Linked DNA regions of Notamacropus eugenii. The protein of the gene in region 1 purifies or fractionates together with the protein of each later gene. This does not show direct contact. Links are inferred from orthologs where the notes say so. Each region holds a gene or a part of one and is shown in the gene's direction. Other genes may lie near its edges.

Evidence for each region.
Region 2: the proteins of ATXN7L3 (region 1) and TAF12 purify together in Homo sapiens (affinity purification with mass spectrometry; 5 studies listed by BioGRID and IntAct, counting the BioPlex papers as one, with this or other methods). This does not show direct contact. The link is inferred for Notamacropus eugenii from reciprocal best matches to the Homo sapiens genes ATXN7L3 and TAF12.

What each region holds. Positions count from the first base shown.
Region 1 is NC_092873.1:349,846,046-349,853,978, forward strand, and holds the start of ATXN7L3 (ataxin-7-like protein 3), read left to right. Parts: upstream 1-4,931; 5' UTR 4,932-5,203; intron 5,204-5,901; exon of another isoform or gene 5,902-6,014; intron 6,015-6,686; 5' UTR 6,687-6,746; coding exon 6,747-6,797; intron 6,798-7,289; coding exon 7,290-7,422; intron 7,423-7,933. UniProt on the Homo sapiens protein: Component of the transcription regulatory histone acetylation (HAT) complex SAGA, a multiprotein complex that activates transcription by remodeling chromatin and mediating histone acetylation and deubiquitination.
Region 2 is NC_092876.1:69,738,195-69,745,374, reverse strand, and holds the start of TAF12 (transcription initiation factor TFIID subunit 12), read left to right. Parts: upstream 1-4,179; 5' UTR 4,180-4,212; coding exon 4,213-4,284; intron 4,285-4,950; coding exon 4,951-5,202; intron 5,203-7,180. UniProt on the Homo sapiens protein: The TFIID basal transcription factor complex plays a major role in the initiation of RNA polymerase II (Pol II)-dependent transcription.

The sequences.
Region 1 (7,933 bases):
CAGAGAGACAGAGTTGTAATCAGACTCAGTCTAAAATAAAAGGATTATTGTGCTGTAAGAGTCCCAATGATTAGATGACATAAAACCAGTAAAATCCAGACAACTTGGTTATGTGGTACTTTTTTGGGGGGGGTAAAAATTTTATTGTTGCTTTTTTCCTCACATTCTTAACACTTCTCAATAATTCCCTCACACCCATAGAACCCTTTTTTTTTATAACCAAATGAATACAGTTGAGTAAAGCATATCTCCAGAATGGTCCTGTCTCAAAAGGTATGTGTTTATTCCACACTTCTGTCTGCCACCTCTCTGCAGAAAGAAGGGAGACAGGCTTCACCATCAAATCCTCTGAAATTATAATTTGTCATTCAGTCATGTCCAACTCTTTGTGATCCCTTTGGGATTTTCTTGGCAAAGATAACTGGAGTGGCTTACCATTTCCTTTTCAAGTTTATTTTATAGATGAGGAAACTGAGGCAAACAGGATTAATTTAATTGATTTTCTCAGGATCACACAGCTACTAACTATCAGAGGTCAGATTTAAGCTCAGGCCCAGCACTCTATCCACTGTACCATCTAGCTGCTCGAGATTATAATTGGTCACTGCATTGATCAGAGTTGTAAAGTCTTTCAAAGTTATTTTCCTTTACATAATTGTGGTCATTACATACACTGTTCTTCTTGTTCTGATTTCTTTGCTTTAAATCAGTTTGTATAAGTCCTCCCAAGTTTCTCTGAATTCTTCATATTCAGAGGTAATTTCATAAAGCATGATTTTAATCTCATTCACATGCCAACCTTGTTCAATCATCTCCCAGCCAATGAGCATTCCCTTTTCTTCCAAATGTTTACTACTACAAGAAGTGCTACTATCAGTATTTTCACAATGACAGGCCATAGGTCTAGAAATAAAAGGCTCCACCTTTCCCTTTCACTTTACTGGGGCCCAGGGAGCCTAAACAACATCTTCAAAATCATATAAGGAGCATCAGAGGAGGATCTTCAACCCATGTCCTTGGACTCCAAAGACATGGCTCTTTCTACTATGGACTATTCTTATCTTTGAAGCAGCTAGATGGTGCAGGGGCCTGAGTTTAAATTTTACCTTAGATACTTAGTAGCTGACTAAAGACTCATCTTGCTGAGTTCAAATCTGGCCTCAGACACTTACTAGTTGGGTGACCCTAGGCATGTTACTTCACCCTGTTTGACTCAGTTTCCTCATCTATAAAATGAGCTGCAGAAGGAAATGGCAAACCACTCCAGTATCCTTGCCAAGGAAACCCCAAATGGGATCATGGAGAGTCAGATATAACTAACAGACAAAAACAATGGGTGGGGGGTGCAGCTAGGTGGCACAGTGGATAGAAAAACACCAGGCCTGGATGCAGGATGATCTAAGCTCAACCTTAGACATTAGCTGTGTGACTCTGGGCAAGTTACTTAACCCTTTTTGCCTCAGTTTCCTCATCTGTAACATGAGCTGGAGATGAGAAGGAAATGGCAAACCACTCCAGTACCTTTGCCAAGAAAACCCCAAATAGGGGCATAAAGACTGAACAATAGGGACATCAAAATAGCTGGGCCATGCCCCTTTGACTTCTTGGCAAATAGGTGAGAGACAGCCCCAAGGCCCCTCCTCCACCTTGAAGCCCCCAGAAGTTCCTGCTCCTTACTCTCTAAAGGAAGCCTTTCCCAATTCCTCTTAATTCTAGTGCCTTCCCTCTGTCGGCTACTTCCTATTTATCCTGTATATAGCTTGTTATTGCACAGTTGTTTATTTGTTGTCTCTCCCATTAGACTGGGAGGGGCTCTTGTCTTTTGTCTTTCTTTGTATCCCCAACGCTATATGGAGTGACCAATTCTAACTAGGCTGGGAAAGGGAGGTCCATTTGGCTAGTTAGTACCTTTTGCATGCATAGTCTATTTTTTTCTGGCTCAGCAGTCAGCCTTTTCTTCAGCACATAGTAATCAGACAGCAAATAGTTATAGAATACCTGGGCATGCTCTGAAATGGGGAGCAGGACATGCTATTATGCATATGGATTATACCAGGCAAAGAAGATTGCACATGTTCCCAAGCTGGGCTCTCATTGGCCAGCCCCCTGTCATATAAAGCATGGCTTTTTGTAGGGAGAGGAGAGAAATACATTAGGAAGTGAAAGTGATAAGAAAAAAAAAGATTTTTCTTTCCTTGCTCAAAAAAAAAAACCTACCTCTTCAGATTATTTATCTATTGGCGAAAGACTCTTGTTCTTATGCATTTAAATCTTGTATATCAGATCTTAGATATCCTTATTATAGATATGTGTTGCAAAGATATTTTCTCCAATGAACTGCTTCTCTTCTAATTCCATCTACACTAATTTTATTCATGGTGTCTGACTTTCCCCAAAGGACTTCTGTGAGACATGAGCAGGAAGAGAGATAGCAGATGGTGGCAGTAATCCAGCAGTTTGGCAAGGAATAGCTAGCTGATGAGAGGACCAAAAGGTAAAGAGTCTAAGGTAACTAACAGTATGTGGTTGAACTGGTCAAGGTCATGAAGGCATGGAAAGGAAGACAGAGAATAAAACAGGAAGGGATAGAAAGATTGGAGGCCACCATAAGCATAAAAAACAGATTTAAGAGGTGCCAGGTAGTGACGATAGGAATTCAGAGATTTAGATGCAGGACATGGAATAATTGCATTACAGGTGATGATCTGATTATTTGAGGAGTTCTAGGCAACTGAGGGGTAGAAAAGATGGAGGTCATGGGAGTTGAAGCACTTAAACTGTGAGCTCTAGTTGTTTCAGGAGACTGCCAATTATCTTGAAGTCCCCAAATATGAAGATTGGGTTTGAGGTTGGAGAAGAACCTTGAGTTCATTGAGAAAAGACTAAGAGACTGGCAAAGTTGACATAAAAGGAAAATAACAAATGTGAGAGGGGTTATGAGGGGAAAATGCACTGTTAGTGGAGCTGTGAATTGATTCAGTCATTATGGAAAGCAGTTTTGGAACTTTGCCCCCAAAGTTACTAAACTGTGCATTTGCCACAAGTAGGCCTGTATTACTAGACCCTTTAACGTAGAAATACCTAAGCTATGCTACAAAATGGTCAAAGAAAAAGGACCCATATGCAAAAATATTTATAGCAGCTTATTTTTTTTCTTTTGTAGCTGAAAAGAACTGGAAAATAGGGGAATGACCTTCAGTTGAAGAATGGCTGAACAAATTATGATGTATTAATGTAACGAATTTTATTGTTCTCAATGAAATGATGAAAGGGAGGCTATCAGAGAAACATGGGATAACAAATAAACTGAGCAGAATGAAATGAGCAAAAGCAGGAGAACTTACACAGTTAACAACATTGTAAAGACAAACTTGAGAGACTTAAGAATTCTGATCGATGAAATCACCAGCCATATTTCCCCAAGACCCAACGGGAAACGCGCTGATCTCCTGAGAGAGTGGTGATGGATTTGGGATGCAGATTGAAACACATCGTTTTTTTTTTATAAACACGGCCAATTTAAAAATGTTTTGCTTGACCATACATATTTGCTTAAAGAGCTTTTTCCTTTTTTTTCAGTGGAGATGAAGTGGGAAGCAAAGAAAACAAGTCTTTAATGTAAAAAAAAATAAATTTAAAGACAAGGAACTGTCAAAGACTTCAGAACTCTGAACCAGACAATGACCAACCAGGATTTCAGAGGACCCCAAATGAAATGTGCTGCCCACTTACTGAGAGACTGGTGATGGAACCAGGAGGTAGATTACAACACCGTGTTGGGAAACGGCCAGTAAGAGAATTTGTTTTGCCTGACTATGCATATTTCTTACAAGGGCTTTTTCTTTTTTCCCAACGAAGGAAGGTGTGAGGTGGGAAGAACAAAGATACATTTGTATGTGAAAATTTTAACTATTATTCATTGAAATTATTTTTTTAATGAAAAGACTAACAATGGCTTGGCAATCGCTAGAGAATAAGGAGTTCGACCAGGTGACAAATAGATGGAGGAAGGTGGCACCCTTGGTACAGTGGGAGGGGCGATTGAAAGGCACGTTGGGGGGTGGAGGCGTAGACACTGGGAGGCGGGGAAGGGGGGGAGTTAGGGGGGTTCAAGGGGCAGCGTCTGGCCCCACAGCTAGAAGTCCTGGGACCCTCTTCGCAGCCCAGAAAAAGGGTAAATCAGCAAGAACCAGCGGCATTCACTAAGCCACGTTCCCCAGAACACTGGGCCTGCAATGCGAGAGGCGGGGTTTCCCCGGGAAAAGGGCGGGGACTGCGGGTCCAGAGGCGTCCCCAGGGAGCGGGGAGGGGAATGGAGGGGAGCGGCCACCAGAGTTCAACACCACCGGCTCCCCGCCCAGTTAGCCGGCCGGGATTGCAACAAAGTATCCACCTCCCCAAGCTTCGCGCACCCCTGCTTTAAACACCGCTTCCGCTCCGTGCGGTCCTATAGGCCTGTCGGCGGGGATGCGTGCTTCCTATTGGCGAGGAGAAGACAATCGAGGCCCCGCCCCCTCCGCACACTCTCTAGGGAGGTACGGCCGTCGGGACGTTCGGCCGCGGCGTGGCCCTCCTCCTCTCCGCTCGGCTCCCTCCGCCTCCCCCGCCCCATCTCCGCCCCCAATAGCCAATGCGGCCGAGCGGCGGCCCGCGGGGCAGATGCACGCGCCGGGACCCCGCTAGCTCGAGCAGCCGCTGCGCGCGCGGAAGAGAGTGCAGGAAGACAGGAAGTGAGGGAGGGGACAGCGGGAGAAGGGGAGGGGCCCGAGGGTCGAGGCCGCTGCGGGGAGGCCGAGCGCGGGGCGGGGTGGCGCGCGCGCCCGGCTTACCTCGCGCGCGCGCGCTCTGGGCTCCTCGCGCCGCGCCCCCCGCCCGGGAGAGGCGGGCTGGATCGTCCCGGGGCGGGGGGGAGGTTGGAGGAGGAGGGGCGGGGTGAGGTGAGCAGGAGGCGGTGACGAGGCAGCGAGGCCAGGAGGGAGGGGAAGGAAGGGGCCATGGCCGCCCGCTGAGGCGGCGGCGGGGGGGAGGAGGCGGCTCGACCCCCGGCTCCGGGAGGCGAGGCGAGGGCGGACGGACGGACGGACATGGGTCCCCGGAGAAGTAGCAGCAGCAGCAGCAGCAGCCGCCGCCGTCGCCGCCGCCGGAGGACGCGGCCCTGAGAGGCCGAGAGGCCCCGGGGCCCCGGCGCAGCCCCCCGGGCGGGGTGAGTGAGGGGGGAGGGGAGGGGCCTGGGGTCCCGTGCCTCCGCCCCCTGACCCTTGACCCTCGCGCCCTCTGACCCGCCGCTGCCGGGCCCGCGTTCTCTTCCCCGCCCCTCCCCCAAGTCCCGGAAGCAGTGGGTGTTTCTCGGTCCCGGGGTGTGGCGTGCCCTCTTTCCCTCCTCCCCTCCCCCCGCGCTTGTCTTGGGATGGGGGAGGCCCCCGGGGCCGAGGAAGGCGCTGCCCTTTGTTTGGGAGGGAAGACCAGGTTGCCCTGAGGAGCTCGGACAATAGTCCCCTGGAGCACCCCTTCCTGCGGGGCAGGGCAGGGAGGATGCCCGGGCCTGGGAGGTTGTGGGGTGGGGCAGGACCTTGTTTCTCCCCAGGACTGGAAGAGATGGGAACTGGTGTGGTTTGGGCTCCTCCCTACCCCCCCCCCCCCCCAGGGTGATGCAGCGTCAATGCAGTATCGGGCAGGGTGGGGGAGAAAAACTAAAGTCCCCAACCTAAGTGCCTCGTTCCTACCTCCATTCACAAGCCCTAGGGTATTCTTAGCCCTAAAGGGGGAGGGGGGCTCCTTGACACCTCCAGAGACTCCACTGTTGGGAGGAGGGAACCGGTGAGATGGGTTACTGCTTTCTGCCATGCTGTCCTCCTTGGGCATGGGATTGTTGGGTGGGGGCTGGGGGAGATCTTCCAATTCCTAGCTCTTAATCCTTAATCAATGCTGAATAAGAGGTGTACAACTGGCAAGAATTTAAGAGCTCCTCAGTTCCACCCTCTACACTTTACTGATAAGGAAAGGGAGGCCCTAAGGTTAGTAGGTTAAGTAATTTGCCCAAGGTCACAAGTATTAAGTGATAGAGCCAAGACTAAAACCCTGGTTCTGTGATTCAAAATCCATTTCTCTGCACTGTAATGCAAAAATCCTGCCCGGTTCCTTGCTCCTTTATCTTAACCTTCTTACAAGGTTAGCTTCCTTGCTTTGGTTTGGTTTTATTTCATGAGGAGAGACCCAGGGTCCTCCTGCCAGTTACTATGACTTTGGGTAAGTCATTTAACTATTCTGGGTCTTAGTTTCTTAATTTGTAAAGTGAAGTGGTTGGACTAGAAAATCCGTAAGATACCTTCTTTCTCTAAATTTATGTGAGAATTCGGCAAAGGTCTAGGACAGGGAGTTACCTAAGGTGGCATAGCTCCAGGCCTTCTGTGGCCACCATGGCAAAACAGAAGTCACTTTGGGGATGAGATGTGTGTATGATGGTGGAAAGGGTCAAGCTTAGGAATCTGTATAATTTTCTCCCTTCCACCCTACTTCAAGAGAGTTTCAGGTTTCCAACCACTGAAAGAATATTTTTAAACAAGGTGGAAGAACTCAGGGATCAGTAAATTATGAAGGGAGAGGGGAGCTGGGGCTGGGGGAGAGTAGGTAGTAGAGATCCTCTGGACTTAAGCTACCCTTCCTCCCCCAACCCTCCATGTGTACAGCTGTGTGGCCTCCTGCTGTGCTATGAGCAGTCAGAACGTCTTCTCCACGAGAGTTTGCAAATGAAAATGGAGGAAATGTCTTTGTCTGGCCTGGATAACAGCAAGCTGGAGGTGAGAGCTCTCTCCCATCTGTTTGTCTGTCATCTTTGTTTTCTGGTTATCTATATTCATTATCAGCAGCAAAGAGAAACCGTTGGGTAGAAAAGGCACCGGAGGATTTCGAGTTAGAAAAGGCTTGAGTTCAAATTGTGCATTTGCCATTTTCTACCTGTGTGACCTTGGACAGGTCACATCAACTTTCCATAACTAAGTTTTTCCTTTTGAAAAATGAGGAGGTTGAATGAAATGTTCTGAGGATAGACTAGATGATCTCTGAAGTTCCTTTCAGCTATCAACGTTAGGCTCCAGGAATATGGGATAACCACTTTTTTGGGGAAAGGAATAACTGAAAGCCTTGAGAACTGGGAGAAAGAAGAATAGGAATTCAGGATGGAGGCTGGGCCTCTCGTGCTTGGGTCTGAAGCAGTTGTAGGTAACATTAGGGAAGTAAGGCTCAAGTGAAAAGGGCCCCTGCAATCACTCTTGTTCTTTTGGGGGGCCCAGGCCATCGCTCATGAGATTTACACAGACCTGGTGGAAGATGCTTGTCTGGGACTCTGCTTTGAGGTGCACCGGGCTGTCAAGTGTGGCTACTTCTTCTTAGATGACACAGACCCTGACAGCATGAAGGACTTTGGTGAGGCTCAGATGGTGGAAATGATACAAATTCTATCCTCGAGGCTTACTTCATGTCTCCGTAGAGTGTGAACCTTGGCCTTGGGGAGAGTTAATTTTCCTTGCTGTGTGGCTTGGGGTTCTTATGGTTAGTTGTGGTATAGGGCTGGATCTTATGGACTAACTCTCTCGGGTCTAGGAATTGAGTGGGAATTGAAAAGACCTAATGCTTTAAAAAACAGCCTTGCCTTTTCTGACTTGGGGGTGAGGGTTGGGGTGCAGGAGGTAGGTAAACAGGGTAGCAGTGTGCAAGTAGGAGTGTATTCTTTGTCATGTCCTGGCTGAGGCTTAGTATTACTTTCCTGCCTGTGCCATCTGCACCATGATTGCTAAATTCTGCGGTGGGTAGACATGACCTTCAGAGCCTTCCTTAGAAACAGCAGATCTTTATTTTCTCTCCCAGTCCCATGTGTCCATCTCTGCCCATGAGGAGCTGCATGTCATAGCTCAAGGGGCAGTTGTGTGTGAAATCA
Region 2 (7,180 bases), on another chromosome or scaffold:
CTTTCTTTCCCTGTAGTCCTTCCACATCTCCCCCTGGCATGGGCCCTACGTTTATGTGATGCCCTATCAGTACTTCTTTTGGGGGTGGGGATTATAGGGGAATGAAAAGATAGAAAAGACATGGTTCCTGCCTTAAAGACCTTGCAGTGCAGTAAGGAGATAACATATCCATATTGAATATGGGTTCTATTAAATATAAGCAATTCCCTTCATCAAGCAGATTGCAACCCATCCATTTTTGCCAATCCATTCACACTAATCTTCCCATGAATTCACCATAGAGTGCTCCACCCAGTCTGTAGGAGCTTGGTGTTCTTAGCTTTCTGTGGATACCAGTGGATCAGGCAGGCTGTCCATCAGTGTCTAGTGTCTTTTGCTCTGTGACCAGCCCATCTATTTTTCTGGCCACATACTTATCTGATAATATTTTTATATGATTTTTCATACATAGAATATTATTTTTAGAACTATAAGGGACATTAGAGGTCATTGAATCTAACCTTTTCATTTTACAGATAAGGAAACTGGCATACAGAGTCTGCTTGCCAAAAGTCACACAGCTAGTAAGTCTCTCAACTGGGATTCAAACCCATGTTTTCTTAATTTCAGGTCCAGTATTCTATCCACCACACCATCATGCCTCTTAGAATTTTGGGGTTGACTTTGGGTAGTTGCAGGGCTTTTTTTAATGGCCCCAAATTTCCTGAAACAAAGACCCACTAAAAAAATTCAATATACTTTTATTTGAAAAATAGGTCACAAACTCTTGAGTGCAGACCTGTTCTACCATTGTACAAGTTACAAATGCTTGACAGCTGAGGGCAAGCGTTTAGTAGCATTGAACAGTGAATAAAAATCCACATAAAACAAATGTCATACTAGAACCAGTATGACCTCATCTCCTGCTCTTCCATATTGTTGCATCTGAGTCAACGCTACTCTTCAAACACATTTAAAAACTCTTAAGAATTAAGTTAATACGCTCCCCAAATCCTCTCAATTCAAACTAAACTTACATTTAATGGCTATCAACAGTTTCTCTCTGTTGATACTAGCTGAAGTACAAATGATGCTGAGGAATGATGCTCCATTCTGCTGTACAAGCCTTAGACAGTGGCCCCATCCTGGGCCTTGACTTCTTAGAAAGCTTCTGCTCCTTGGTTTGTTGCCTGCATGGCAGTTCTGGCTTAGAGGTCACAATGTAGAGAGGGGCTCTGGAAGTCACTGAAAGGGAAAGTAGCTACAGGACAAGCACCCATGTTTTAAAACCACCTACAAGCTTCAACATGTATTTCTGGTAAAGCACAGCATTGCACAATTTGATCCAGACACTAACCTATTGGTCCTCATATGCTAGAAGAGTAATATTTCACATCTGGTTAAGTGTCTTCCACATCTTACCATGCCTGATCAAATGAGATGCTGTTCAACGTTTGATATTCTCCATCATTCACATGATACATAAAGGTTTGGTCATTTTCATCATTTTCTTCATCAGAACCTCTGTATTCCTTTAATATAGGTTGTTTGGTTTTTGGTTTTTGGATAATGATGTTAACCCCAAGTCCAAAAGGAATGCAACATAGTGTATCTCTGGTCAGATATGTCTGACTCTAGATTCAGAAGGAAAATATTTGACCAGTGTTGGGTGGATTACACTTGTTATCTGTTCATATTTAAGCTCGACCACTTCAGAACCAGATAAGCCACCACCAACCAGTATTAGGTGGACAACCTTAATGTCAGAGATACATCAGGCATCAGAAACTGCTTATACAAAGGTTTCTGGATCCATGCAATCATTTCACACATGAAACTGACTCCGGCAACATTCATATTCAGTGTTTTGGTTTTTTCCAGATCAGAGACAGCCTACTTATTTTGAATGGCACCAAACTCAACAAGTAGATGACAGACAGCTTTGGAGTTAGCAGTAACAGTCTGCAAAATGAACTTTGTCCAGTGATCTCTGGTAGTTTTCATTCACTTGACTTCACTGTCAGAAGTCATTTTCTCTCCCTTGTTGTCAGTGTACTTAATTTGTGACATTTGCTTAAAGGTGCCTAGATGATGCCCTTTGGAGGTATTTCAGTCTTGCTAGCATAGGACATTCAAACCCTGCTCCTGGAGTAGCAAACATCTTTCTAGCTCTGCCATTGTGACATTTGAAGCATAAAAAATATATTCGAAGAAATGCTCTGTACCATCCCACATGTTTCTTGAGGATGTCTCCAAGGTCAGCAACACAGAAGGCATCTTCATCATCATCAGAAGAAAAAGAAACATTAATTTGGGGGTAAAATATCCTTAAGAGTAAGCCTTCATCAAGTAAATTGGAGTCAAGTTTGTCCTTGCGAAACTGTTCATGGTTTCCAGGCATTCTTCAAAAGGACAACAAAATAGGAAATGAAGAGGTGGGATTTAGAGGCTAGCTCTTCAAGAATGTAAAGAGGCCACATTATGGACATCTCTGAATACTAAGCTAAGAAGTTTGAAATTCATTGATTCTCTATTGTTGATTTGGTCTCTTCATAAAGTTAGTGCTAATGGAAGAGAGGAAATGGGTGCATGGTAAATTTGGAGGCAGAATTGACAAGATTTGTAATAGTTGAGCATGTTGCCAAACTTCACAGAACAAATCTTTGTTTGATTTGTTCTGTGAAGTTTGGATTTAGTCAAAGGGCTGCACTTGAGGATCTAGAGGGCCACCTGTGGCCTCGAGGCCACAGGTTCCCTACCCCTGGTAGACATTTGAGCATGATCATGAGGACTGGATTATAATCTGGAAGAGGCAGTACATGTAGATAACACCTGTGAGAATCTAGAAGCCCAATACATGCATTCAATTAGCAAGTGTCCCTTACCTTGTATGGGGCATAGAGCCGTGGAGCAGAGAAGATGATCATTGCGATATGTCCCTGCTTTCGAGGATCTTAACTTGTAGTCGGAAAAGTGAAATTGTAATAAGGTAAATAGAGTTTAGAAAGTGCTAAATGTGCAAGAATACAAAATGTTCTGAGAACAGGTGAAGGAGAAATCTCTTTGGGATTATGCCTTAGGTCACTCTCGAGTTAACTGTGTGATTGTTCATGTTGTGTCCTGTGCTTGTCATTCATGGTTTATATGCAGTTCAAGTCTTGTCATGAGAGAGTTCATTAATGAGAAACCTCTAGGTAACCAATTTATTTATTTTTTATCCCACCACACATATTAGAAGTTTCATCTTAAGTGTTTGAAACATGAGCCTAGAGCCAGAAAGAAGACACTGACTTTATGTTCTCCAACAAGGATCTTTCAAGTACCTGTAGGATTTGTCATGGAATCAGCAGAGTTTAAAGGGAGCACGTCTGCACTGATCTTCATGGGTTCTCTGGCCAGTTTGTAGCTTTTTGTAGAACACTTTTCATCATTACTTTAATACCTCAAAAATATGTATTTCAGCAACACAGATCACAACCTCTCTACCCATTTGTGTGTAGTCTTCATGAGTTGTTATGGTTAAAAAAAAAATCTCAGAGTAGGAAGGAGCCTGAGAGGCCATCTTATCCAATCTTTGTTTGGACAAGACTGGTCCCTGGACAGCCAACACATAGTGTGCATCACAGGGCCTCTTCTTGCAGCCTTTCTAATGTGGTGTGACCAGCCAGTTTGCTTTCCACTGGAATAAGCCCCCACAAACCACTGTGCTACAGTGAAGCAGCAGAGTCTGCCTGTGTGAAACCAGTCATTGTGAGCACTCCATTAGTAAGCTAGTGCTGAGAGGTGAGACAACAGAATGCACTTTTTAAACAGGGACACATTAGAGTCGTGGTCAGGGATAGGGCAGAGAGGTACATGTGTATACACGCACACACACATGTGCACACATGCACTACTCAGAGTTTGCCAAAGTTCTGAAAGGATTGGTCTGATACTGATTCCAGCCCCAACCCTGTGGTGGTACAGCCAGACTGCACATCCCCACCTGTTGGTAGGCTGCTGTCAGTTTTATCTGCTCTGAGCTCATTCCTAACAATAGACATTTACCCTTCCAGGAGCTGGTGGGCACCCCCGGCAGCAAGCCTTAATAACACTGGCTTCGTGTGGCCAGGCAGGCCGTTTTTCTGGGTGCTCATTGAGGACAAGCAGCCTCCACTGCCTCCTCTCTCTGGCTAAGACCTGATAGCCCAAGTTGTCTGGTGCCAGTTGTTTACTTTCAGAAAGATTTAGGCAATGGCTGCTCCTCCTTTCACCGGGCTCACAGCAGTTGCTGATGTAATTAAAGATCTAGACGCTCAGATAGCTGTAAGTAAGCTAATTAATGCGACCATGGCATCTGTGGCCAAAGTTTTTGAGTGTGCACCATCTTGTCATGCTAACAGGCTCAGGCCATTTTTAAAAGGCTGATCTGGCACGATTAACAGAACCAAAAGATAACTTACTCTTAAAATTGTTAAGCTTTGTGCTTATTGGACATAACTGCATTGAGTGTCAGTGCATGATGTGGTGTGTCAGTTAACATGAGTTACTAATTTCTGAATCACTGGGGCTGTGCCCCTTTCTGCAGAGGTGGTTATGGTGTATAAGTGGAGTTTCTTTTTGGTTATTTGAATTTAACACATATTTTCCCCAGATGATCCTATGTCTTCACCAAATGTTCTGTTTTTATATAAACCTCAGAAATATCTTACTCTTTCCAGTCAGTGTCTGTGTATGACTTTTTGGTCTGTTTGTCTTCTTTCTGTTCTGAAGACCCTTTCAGAGAGTTGTTAAAGGAGAGATGATTTCCAAATGTCAGGGAAAAGCTATGCATTCGTTTCTCTCTCCATTTTTATAATCAAAGGTATTAATTTGTGACCATTTGAGGTGAACTCAGATTCTGAAAAAATCTAACAAACACACAGTTTTTTAAAATGTCCACCCTTTGTTACTGATGCTTCTAAAATATATTTTTATGTTTTCTTTCCCCAGTTGATTGGCCTCGGTCCCCATAATCCCAAAAAAAAACAGGACCTTGACAAGCTCCATGAACTGAAGGCCAAAGCTCGACAGATTATGAACCAGTTTGGCCCCTCAGCCCTGATCAATCTCTCCAACTTTTCATCCATAAAACCGGAACCTTCCAGCACCCCCCCTCAGGGGTCCATGGCCAACAGTACCACAGTGGGAAAGATGCCAGGCCCCCCAGGGGCAGGGGGGCGTCTTAGTCCAGAAAGCAATCAGGTATCAGTTGTCCTTTCGGCATGGGCTTCTGGGAGCTTTGTTCATTGTTTACTAATGCCGGTGTTATTTCTCTATGATAAAGGGAATATATACAAGCGTTGGGGTAAATTATTAGAAAAGAATAGGATAAGCATGTTTGAGTCAGTTGAGCTGTAGCTTTCTTAATTTAGTTCTATATTTTCTTCAACCCAGCCACCATTCTGAGACCTCAGTTGTTATAATTAAGCACCTACTGTGTGGCAGGTGAGAGGCAGAAGGGTGTAGTAGATAGAGGGATAGCCTTGGTCATTACAAACTGGGATTAAGTCCTGCCTCTGACACTCCAGCTTGTTACCCTGGGCAAATCACCGCTCTAAAACTATGAATGGCCCATCAGCACTGGCAGAGGAAGTGTCCTCACTGGCAACAGGCTTTTGCACAAATGAAATTAAAGATCCAGACCACAAAAAAGAAAATATGTTAGGCACTAGGGATGCAGAAACAGGGTAGTCCTCATCCTCAAGGAACTTAAAGAGTCTACAGCATATACACACTTTAGATACAGAATAATTTGGGAGAGGGGAAGAGCACTAGCAGCTGGGGGGATTTAAAGAGGGGGCCCTGAAGCTGAGCTTTGAGTGGGAGCTGGACATAAGGAGGGAGAATTTTCCACTTACAGCAGACAGTCTATACAAAGGCACAGCGTAGTGCAGAAAACAAATAGGCCAACTTGGCTATAAGGTGGAGGGGAGTGGGAGATAGGATTGTGAAATAAGCCAGGAAAAAGAAGGGATGGGAATAAGCATTTCTACAGCACCTACTATCTGTCAGGTACTATGCTAAGCACATTTTTACAAATATCTCATTTGAACGACTCTCCCGTGAGGTAGATATTGTCATTACTCATGTTTTACAGTTGGGGAAACTAAGGCAAATGGAGGTTAAGTGATTTTGCTCTTGTAAATAAACATCTGAGGCTGGATTTGAACTCAGGTCTTCCTGACTCCAGGCCCAGCACTCTATCCACTGAGCCACCTAGCTGCCTCTAAGGAGGTAGGTAGGATTGTAGATTTAGAGTTGAAAAGGATGTCAGACATTATGTAGTCTAACCTCTGTGTTATTGATGAGCAACTTGGGGCCCAGAGTTGTTAATTGGGGTCCTAGAGTCTAAGTCAGATTTGAACAGAAGTTCTTTGTCTCCAAATCCAGCAGTCCTTCCACTGTTGCGTAATGAATTTTTACTTATTTTGTTAAATGCTTCCGGTTACATTTAATTTTGTTCTGCTGCACTGGGAGTTTGAGGGACCCTAAGGGTGGGTTGAAGAGGTGGGGAACTTATTCTAGTAGCCCAGGTGTGAGACATGAGTCAGGGGAGCAACATCTAATGGAGGGACAAATCCAAAACACATTTTGAAGGAAGAATCAGTATAACTTAGTAATTTGATATGAGAAAAGAGAGTGGGATGAACCAAAGATCAGACCCCCAGCGCTTCTAGCCTGCACAACTGGGAGAAAGGTAAGGCTGTTGATCCCAAGTGAAGCTCAGAAAGAGGCCCTTTGTGCAGAGAATAAAAGGTCAGGTTTAGCAGGAAACCTCCCCCTGGTCAACAAAGCCAGGAGGTGGCCATGGGGGCAGTGGAGCACAGCAAGCAGAACTTAGATGGTTCCTTGGTGCCTTTGCCTGCCCTGGGGTCCTCGGGCATCTCTGCAGTCCCCCAAGTTCTCAGAATCTTTACACCTTCCTGGTTTACGTTGCTTCTCCAGGTGTGCAAGGCATTGCTGTCCTTTCCACCTGTTCTTCCTCAAGTGTGCTCCTGCCAGAGCCCTATGCTCCTCAGAAGCTGTTAGAGCTAGGGGGAGGAGGAATTTTCTAACCAAGGTCCTGTGGTGGGGGGTTACCTTGGAGCCTTGCATTGCTGGACAGACAGCTACAGGGCAGAATTTACATTAACCATGTCTTTAACTCTCATCACAAATTGACCTGTTTATGTATTTACCT